Linked DNA regions of Rattus norvegicus. The protein of the gene in region 1 interacts with the protein of each later gene in a biochemical or structural test. Links are inferred from orthologs where the notes say so. Each region holds a gene or a part of one and is shown in the gene's direction. Other genes may lie near its edges. The genes, in order: Itgb2 and Icam1.

What was found.
Region 2: the proteins of Itgb2 (region 1) and Icam1 form a complex in vitro, tested with the Homo sapiens proteins (4 studies listed by BioGRID). The link is inferred for Rattus norvegicus from reciprocal best matches to the Homo sapiens genes ITGB2 and ICAM1.

The regions. Positions count from the first base shown.
Region 1 is NC_086038.1:11,069,552-11,073,362, reverse strand, and holds part of Itgb2 (integrin beta-2 precursor), read left to right. Parts: intron 1-499; coding exon 500-595; intron 596-3,033; coding exon 3,034-3,123; intron 3,124-3,811.
Region 2 is NC_086026.1:27,836,139-27,839,949, forward strand, and holds part of Icam1 (intercellular adhesion molecule 1 precursor), read left to right. Parts: intron 1-1,882; coding exon 1,883-2,188; intron 2,189-2,844; coding exon 2,845-3,132; intron 3,133-3,637; coding exon 3,638-3,811. UniProt on the Homo sapiens protein: ICAM proteins are ligands for the leukocyte adhesion protein LFA-1 (integrin alpha-L/beta-2).

The DNA.
Region 1 (3,811 bases):
CCCAAAGGTATCATAAAGGATTTTTTTTTTGAGCCCACACACTCAGGGACTACCTGGAACCCACTGATTTGGAGCTGGCGGCAGACAGAATCTGGGGGGTCCTGACCCTGGACAGGAGCAGGGATATCTTATCTCCCTTCCTCCCCCTAAAGTTGGCTATCATATCCTTCCACTATACATCATGGAGGTGAAGAGGTGGAGTCTAAAATCTAGCCCTAGTGGAAACGCAGGCACTTCCTAGGTACCCATACGCCAGTTCCTCGGGATACTGCTTGAGCTCTGGCTGGCTTAGCACCTAGAGTCGTGACTCACAGTAGCCATCACAATTATCAGTATTCTCTTGGCGGATTTCAAAGGATTTGGTTGGTTCCCTGCCAAGCCTGTCATATGCTTGTAGATCTGCACCAAGTAAAGCCCGGCCTGAGCAGGGGCCAATGCTCTGTCAGCCTGGACGTTTGCTTCGAAGGCTCGTCTGACAAGGTGTGTCCCCTCTCTCCAGGACTACCCGTCAGTGGGCCAGCTGGCCCACAAACTTTCCGAGAGCAACATCCAGCCCATCTTTGCAGTGACAAAGAAGATGGTGAAAACCTATGAGGTAAGTGGGGGCCTTGTGCAATGTGGCGACAAGGCCATCTCAGCTGGCAGTGACAAGCCGGGCCCTGCCCTTTGTTGCTTCAGTTCTGCTTTTCTTGTTGGCCTGTGGGTGGTGGGCCTGCCCAGTGGCCACAGTTTTCTGTCTGTGAGCATCTTGATGAGGGAAGTTGAGACTGTCGTTAAGCCACACAGGGTCCATGTCTTGAAATTTCACAGTGCTGCTCCCTTCTTTTGTTTCTTCTGGAACAAAGCAGTTTGCCCCCCGGCCCCCATCCCTCAAAAAGAAGCTTCTTTGAGTAACCAACATTCGAATGGAGCCAAACTCATATGTTGACCGCACCTCAGGAGACCTCAGTTCTGCCCACAGTGGGATACCTCCTTCCTATATATGTTGGTTCAGGACAAGTCTCCCCAAAGCACCTCAAACAAACAGAAGCCAAAGCTAAAGCAAACAGGATCTCGCTTGGGTTTGCCCTTGGCTTTGAAACGGTCGTCCATCCTCCTGGGGAGAAAGCAGCCAGCCTTGCTCTTTGTAAAGCAACCAAGCCTGGTGACCCCAAGGTTCTGCATCCAGCGAGCTCACCTCTATGGTGGCCCCTAGAGGAAGGTGCAGTCCTACACGTGTAGTTAGGAGACCCTTGGACCCTTCGGTTCATAATAGCATTTCTGTCTATTCTAATGGCAGTAATTGGGTCCCATGATGTCACCAAGCAAGAAGCAGCTATGGAGTTAGCAAATATTCACTGAGGCCTGGGGTGCCTCCCCAGGGCCCCTCGAAATGCTACTTGATGCTCATCCTGTGTTTCTGCTGCTGATGCTATGTCATGCGTGTGCGTCCCGCCTCGAGCCATCTGAGGAGCTGAGGCCAAATCCTCTAAGGGCAAGTTCACACAGGCCTAAGAGTCTCAGGTGTGACCAGTCTCCCAAGCCTTCTTCTCCCTGGCTTAGTGACTGGCTGGACAGGCCTGAAGAGTTAAGCAAACTAGACTGTCAGTCAGTTTGCCACAGTGTAGGGGTAAAGTCAGCGGAGACTAGAAAGGGAAAGGGCAAAGTCTAGGAGAGAGCTGGGGCTTAAGCTTCTGCGGCCCCTCCCCTTTCAGGGCTAATCTCATGACTGACCAGGACCTCCAGCCCCACCTGAGAATAAGTGGATCCTTCATGGCCTAAGGGACAACCCCTACCCCCTCCCCATCCCCGCACCTGCCAGGAGCTACTGCCGAGGCCTACCCTCTTTGGAATGTGTAGGGTGTAGGCAGCCCAACCTATGAACTGATCTTTACTGGACAGTGGGTCATGAGGGATTCTCTTCCTAGAAGAATCTCTGCTCCCAGGAGCTGCTCAGCCAGACCCTGAGCCCAGAATGAGATGTGTATATCTGTTATGTGACCCGAGACTTGGAAGACGATGACTGTAATCAATTTGTAAAGTCTGATGGCTCATTCTTTGGGATCGGAGAACTGCAGATCTCAGCCACTCCAGACACATCTAAAGAAGGGGCCCAGCTTGTTCCTCTGTGAGAGGCAACAGTGCTCACCTGGGAAGGCCACTGTGGGGACTCTGTGTTCCCAACTCAGAAAGCCATCGGATTGAAATGTCAGCTGGGGACGGTCACACCCAGGAGTGTGTGACCTCCATTCAGGGTTTTGGAACTGGGCTTCCTTCTAAGACAGGGTTTCTCTGTGTAACCTTGTGTAGTTCCCCCACCCTACCCCCTCTCTCTGTAGATTAGGCTGGCCCTGAACTCACAGATATCCACCTGCCTCTATCTCCCAAGTGCTGGGATTAAAGGCATTCACCCCCACCGTCCAGCCCTTCCTCCCTTTCTCAATCAGAACAGGGGATTGAATCTATGCTAGGCAAGGACTCCACCACCAGCCCACACTCTTGGCCCTTTATTCAGTTTTGCTTCTCAGACAATCTGGCTGAGTAACCCAGACAGACCCTGAACTTGTGAAGAGAGGCCAGGGACAATAGACCCAGCTTTTCAGGGCCTGGGTCCTGAGCTTCCTAGACCCAGCTCTTCGAAGCTTGATGTCTCTTCAGCTAGGGTGAGAGACTGTGACATCAGGCTGCTCCACCAGGCCTGGCTGTTTGTTTTTTTTGTTGTTGTTGTTGTTTTGTTTTTGTTTTTTGTTTTTTGTTCCAAGAATCGATTACTGGCATTCAGCAGTATAGCACCGACTTGTTTTACATCCTATGAGCCAGCTCATGAGAAAGGGAAGCTCTTTTTAAAATAAAGATTTATTGTATATAAATGCACTGTTGTTGTCTTCAGACACACCAGAAGAGGGCATCGGATCTCATTGCAGATGGCTATGAGCCACCACGCTGGGAAATGGTTGCTGGGATTTGAACTCAGGACCTCTGGAAGAGCAGTCAGTGCTCTCCACTGCTGAGCCATCTCTCCAGCCCTAGCTTGGTCTTCTTTCTCATCAACAGAAACTGACAGAGATTATCCCCAAGTCAGCGGTGGGCGAGCTGTCTGACGATTCCAGTAACGTAGTCCAGCTTATCAAGAAAGCCTACTACGTGAGTCTCCAGCAAAGTTGGCTAGGGGGTGGGGGGGTGGGGGGTGGCTGGCAAGGATCCCATGGGTCAGGGGATGAGTGGGGGGCGGGGCACATCCTCTTTGGGGGGGCGGGGAGGGGGCTCCTGCTGACATCTTCATAGCTTCTGGACCGGCAGGGCAGGGAGAAAGAGAGGAGGGTACGGAGAGAGAGAGAGCAGCCACTTTCCGCAGCTTGTGTCCTTTCATGGCCTGGCTGCTCTGTCCCAAACCCTACCTGGGTATTTCCTGAAATACCAACGGCAGGCCCTTCTTTTTTTTTTTTTTTTTTTGGAGCTGGGGACCGAACCCAGGGCCTTGCGCTTCCTAGGTAAGCGCTCTACCACTGAGCTAAATCCCCAGCCCCTTTTTTCTTTTTTTAAATATATATTTTATTTATCTATTCATTTAACATATGTGAGCACACTACAGCTGTCTTCAGACACACCAGAAGAGGGCATCGGATCCCATTACAGATGGTTGTGAGCCACCATGTGGTTGCTGGGATTTGAACTCAGGACCTCTGGAAGAGCAGACAGTGCTCTTAACCACTGAGCCATCTCTCCAGCCCCGGCAGGCCCTTCTTACTGGCTCTTCCCTTCAGCCACCATGGCGTAGCGGGGAGTGGCTGTCTGGAGAAGGCAGAGTGGTTTCTCTGGAGGGCGGAGGGAC
Region 2 (3,811 bases), on another chromosome or scaffold:
TGCAGGCTGAGGACAATCTTGACCTTTGGTTTGTCTGTTTTTAAGACTGGATTCTCACTATGTATCCCTAGGGGAGCTAGAACTCTGTAGAACAGGCCAGCCTCCAACTCACAGAATTACCCCTTCCTCTGCCTCCCAAGTGCTGAGATTAAACAGGGGGGTGCGGGGGGCGAGGGCCACTGTATATTGTATTTGTAGAATTGTAGTCTCTGACTTTTTTTTTTTTTTTGATACTAAGTAGCTTGATGTGGAGACAAGGCTGGCCTTCAGCTCACAGAGATCTGCCTGCCTATGCCTCCTGAGCGTTGAGATTAAAGACATATATTACCTAATTTGCCACTTTGCCTAATGGAAGACTCTGTGCTGGATGCGGTGCTGGTCTCGTAATCACAGCTCTGGGGTAGGCCAAGGCAGGATAGACTCAGGTTTGAGGCCAAGCTCACTATAGTATGTAAGGGCCTGCCTCAAAAGGCAGAAAACGAAAACAAACAACAGAAACCCCAAACAAAACAGGGAAGAAAAGGGAAAATAAAGGAAAGGAAGGAAGACAGGGGCTGAAAAGAGAAGGGAAGCCAAGGCTTTACAATTGCCCTGGGCTTCCACTACTGAGCCACGCCACTCGGCTCGGCCCCTCAGTGTGGGATTCTACACAGGGATTTTTACCACTGAAGCTTAGTAACTACTATCTCACAAGCACACAGAATTGTGTGTGCCCTAGATCCGCACACCCTAACTCTTTGTTGTCCTGAAGGTTTAATTGATTAGTCTTATAGAAAGTTTTCACACAAGCGTGGCTTGATTTCTCACACCTCAATTCACTTAGTCTCGGCTAGCCTCAGACTTGGGTTTCGCCTGCTTTGGGTGGGCTTACGGGCTGTACCGCCATTCTTGGCTTTTATTAATTAATTAATTAATTAATTAATTAATATCTTATTTTTTTAGAGAAACGGGGTCTCACTGGTGTAGCCCTGACTGTCCTGGTTAGGGCTACTCTGTAGACCAAGCTACTCTGTAGACCTCGAACTCAGAGATCTGCCTCCCGAATGCTGGGACTAAAGGTGCACACCACCACACCCAGCTCATTCGTTATGTTTATCGTGTGTGTATGATGTGCGAGTGCAGACCCGGGTGTGCCAGGTGAACATATGGAGGCCAGAGGACCACTCTGGAGTTATTCTCTTTGCCCAACTTTACTTGGGATGCAGGGATCGATCGTCTGTTTTCCCAGACAGGATTTCTCTGTGTAGCCCTGGCTGTCCTGGAACTCACTCTGTAGACCAGGCTGGCTTCGAATTCCCAGAGATCCACCTGCCTCTGCCTCCCAAGTGCTAGGATTAAGAACCTGTGCCACCGGGGTTGGGGATTTAGCTCAGTGGTAGAGTGCTTGCCTAGGAAGCACAAGGCCCTGGGTTCGGTCCCCAGCTCCGAAAAAAAAGAACCTGTGCCACCACTGCCCAGCCTGGGATCCAGGGATTGAATTTGGGCACTCAGGTTATGTGGCAAGCACGTTTACCCACCGAGCCATCTCACTGGCCCATTCTAATCTAATTTAATTTTATTCCTGGGACTGGGGATGTAACCCAGGGCCTCCTGTCCGTTAGGCAGGTCTTCCAAAGCTGGGCCACCACACCGTCAACCTTTAGCACACCGGATACATTATTTGCAGTTTCCTAATGATAGACTTTGGAGTGTATTTCCACCTTTCAGGTATCGCTGTCGTGCAAACACTCCTGACCTCCTCCCTACCTCTCCCCAAAGCTCTCTGCATTCCTGGCTGCTTAGGTGGTGGGGTGTGTTTGGGGGAGACTGAAGTCTTTAGGCAGGTGTGGGTCTGTCTACAGCAGTCCAGCTCACAGGATCCCCCAACTCTGTTTCCCTGCAGCGTTCCCAGAGCGAGTGGAGCTGGATCCTCTGCCCGCCTGGCAGCAGGTGGGCAAGAACCTCATCCTGCGCTGCCTGGTGGAAGGCGGAGCACCGCGGACACAGCTCTCAGTAGTGCTGCTCCGTGGGAATGAGACACTGAGCCGCCAGGCAGTGGATGGGGACCCCAAGGAGATCACATTCACGGTGCTGGCCAGCAGAGGCGACCACGGAGCCAATTTCTCATGCTTCACAGAACTGGACCTCAGGCCACAAGGGCTGTCACTGTTCAAGAATGTCTCCGAGGTCAGGCAGCTCCGGACTTTCGGTGAGGCCCTATTCCTGCACAGAGAGCAAGTGGGTTCTTGGGAGGAAGCTGACCTCGGCAACGGGGGAGAGGATAGCTTAGTGGGTAAAGGAAGGAGCTTGCATCCAAGCTTGATGACTTGAGTTCAGTTTCCAACTCCCAAAGGAGAAACTGACTCCTGAAAGTTGTTCTCTGACTTCCACAAGTGAGTCACACATATACACAGAAAATAAATGAATAAAAAGAAAGAAAAAGGGGGGTTGTGAGTAGACCCCACAGGTCCAATTCACACTGAATGCCAGCCCTGAGGGTTACGAACCACACTTCTTTTGTTCTGTGGCTCTGGAGGTGGCTGGGCAGTTGGTGTTAAAAAACCTGGGGAGGGCTGGAGAGATGGCTCAGTGGTTAAGAGCACTGACTGCTCTTCCAGAGGTCCTGAGTTCAATTCCCAGCAACCACATGGTGGCTTACAACCATCAGTAATGGGATCTGATGCCCTCTTCTGGTGTGTCTGAAGACAGCAAAGTGTACTCATATAAATAACATAAATAAATCTAAGAAAGAAAGAAAGAAGGAAAGAAAGAAAGAAAGAAAGAAAGAAAGAAAGAAAGAAAGAAAGAGAAAGAAAGAGACAGACCTCGGAAGTCCATTTGCTCATGCCTGTCTTCTCTCCCAAGATCTTCCGACTAGGGTCCTGAAGCTCGACACCCCTGACCTCCTGGAGGTGGGCACCCAGCAGAAGTTCTTGTGTTCCCTGGAAGGCCTGTTTCCTGCCTCTGAAGCTCAGATATACCTGGAGATGGGAGGCCAGATGCTGACCCTGGAGAGCACAAACAGCAGAGATTTTGTGTCAGCCACTGCCTCAGTGGAGGTGACTGAGAAGTTGGACAGAACCCTGCAGCTGCGCTGTGTTTTGGAGCTGGCGGACCAGACCCTGGAGATGGAGAAGACCTTGAGAATCTACAGTAAGAAGGGGCGAAGCTTAGTCTAAAGAAAGTGATTTTGAGACCTGACTGACACCAATAGGGGGTGGGGGGAGGGGAGGTTCTAAAGAGGTAGGACTGACAAGGGTGGGACTGACACCATAGGTGGGCCTTTCAGGGGCGTGGCCTAACTTGGTAGCCCATTCAGGAGTAAGAACTGCCACCAGGGGCACACCAGTCGTGGCACTTTCAAGAGATAGAAGAACTAACTGCAGGGAGACTTAGCACTCCTTTAATCCCAGCACAGGGGTGGCAGAGGTAGGCAGGGTCCTTATGAGTTCTGAGCCAGCCAGGGCAACACAGTGAGACCTTGTTTCAAAATGTGTGGGACCAGACCTTTCTAAAGGCCTAGTTTCAGCTAGTCCCAGTTCCTGGATGGCCAATACTGGAGATTGGGGCTGAGACTAGGGGTCCATCCATACTTGAGGCTGGGTGGTCAAGGGCAGGGCTTGCATTGGGCGGAGCTCACGGTGTGTCCCGCCCCCAGACTTTTCAGCTCCCATCCTGACCCTGAGCCAGCCGGAGGTCTCAGAAGGGGACCAAGTAACTGTGAAGTGTGAAGCCCACGGTGGGGCACAGGTGGTGCTTCTGAACAGTACTTCCCCCAGGCCACCCACCTCACAGGGTACTTCCCCCAGGCCACCCACCTCACAGATCCAAT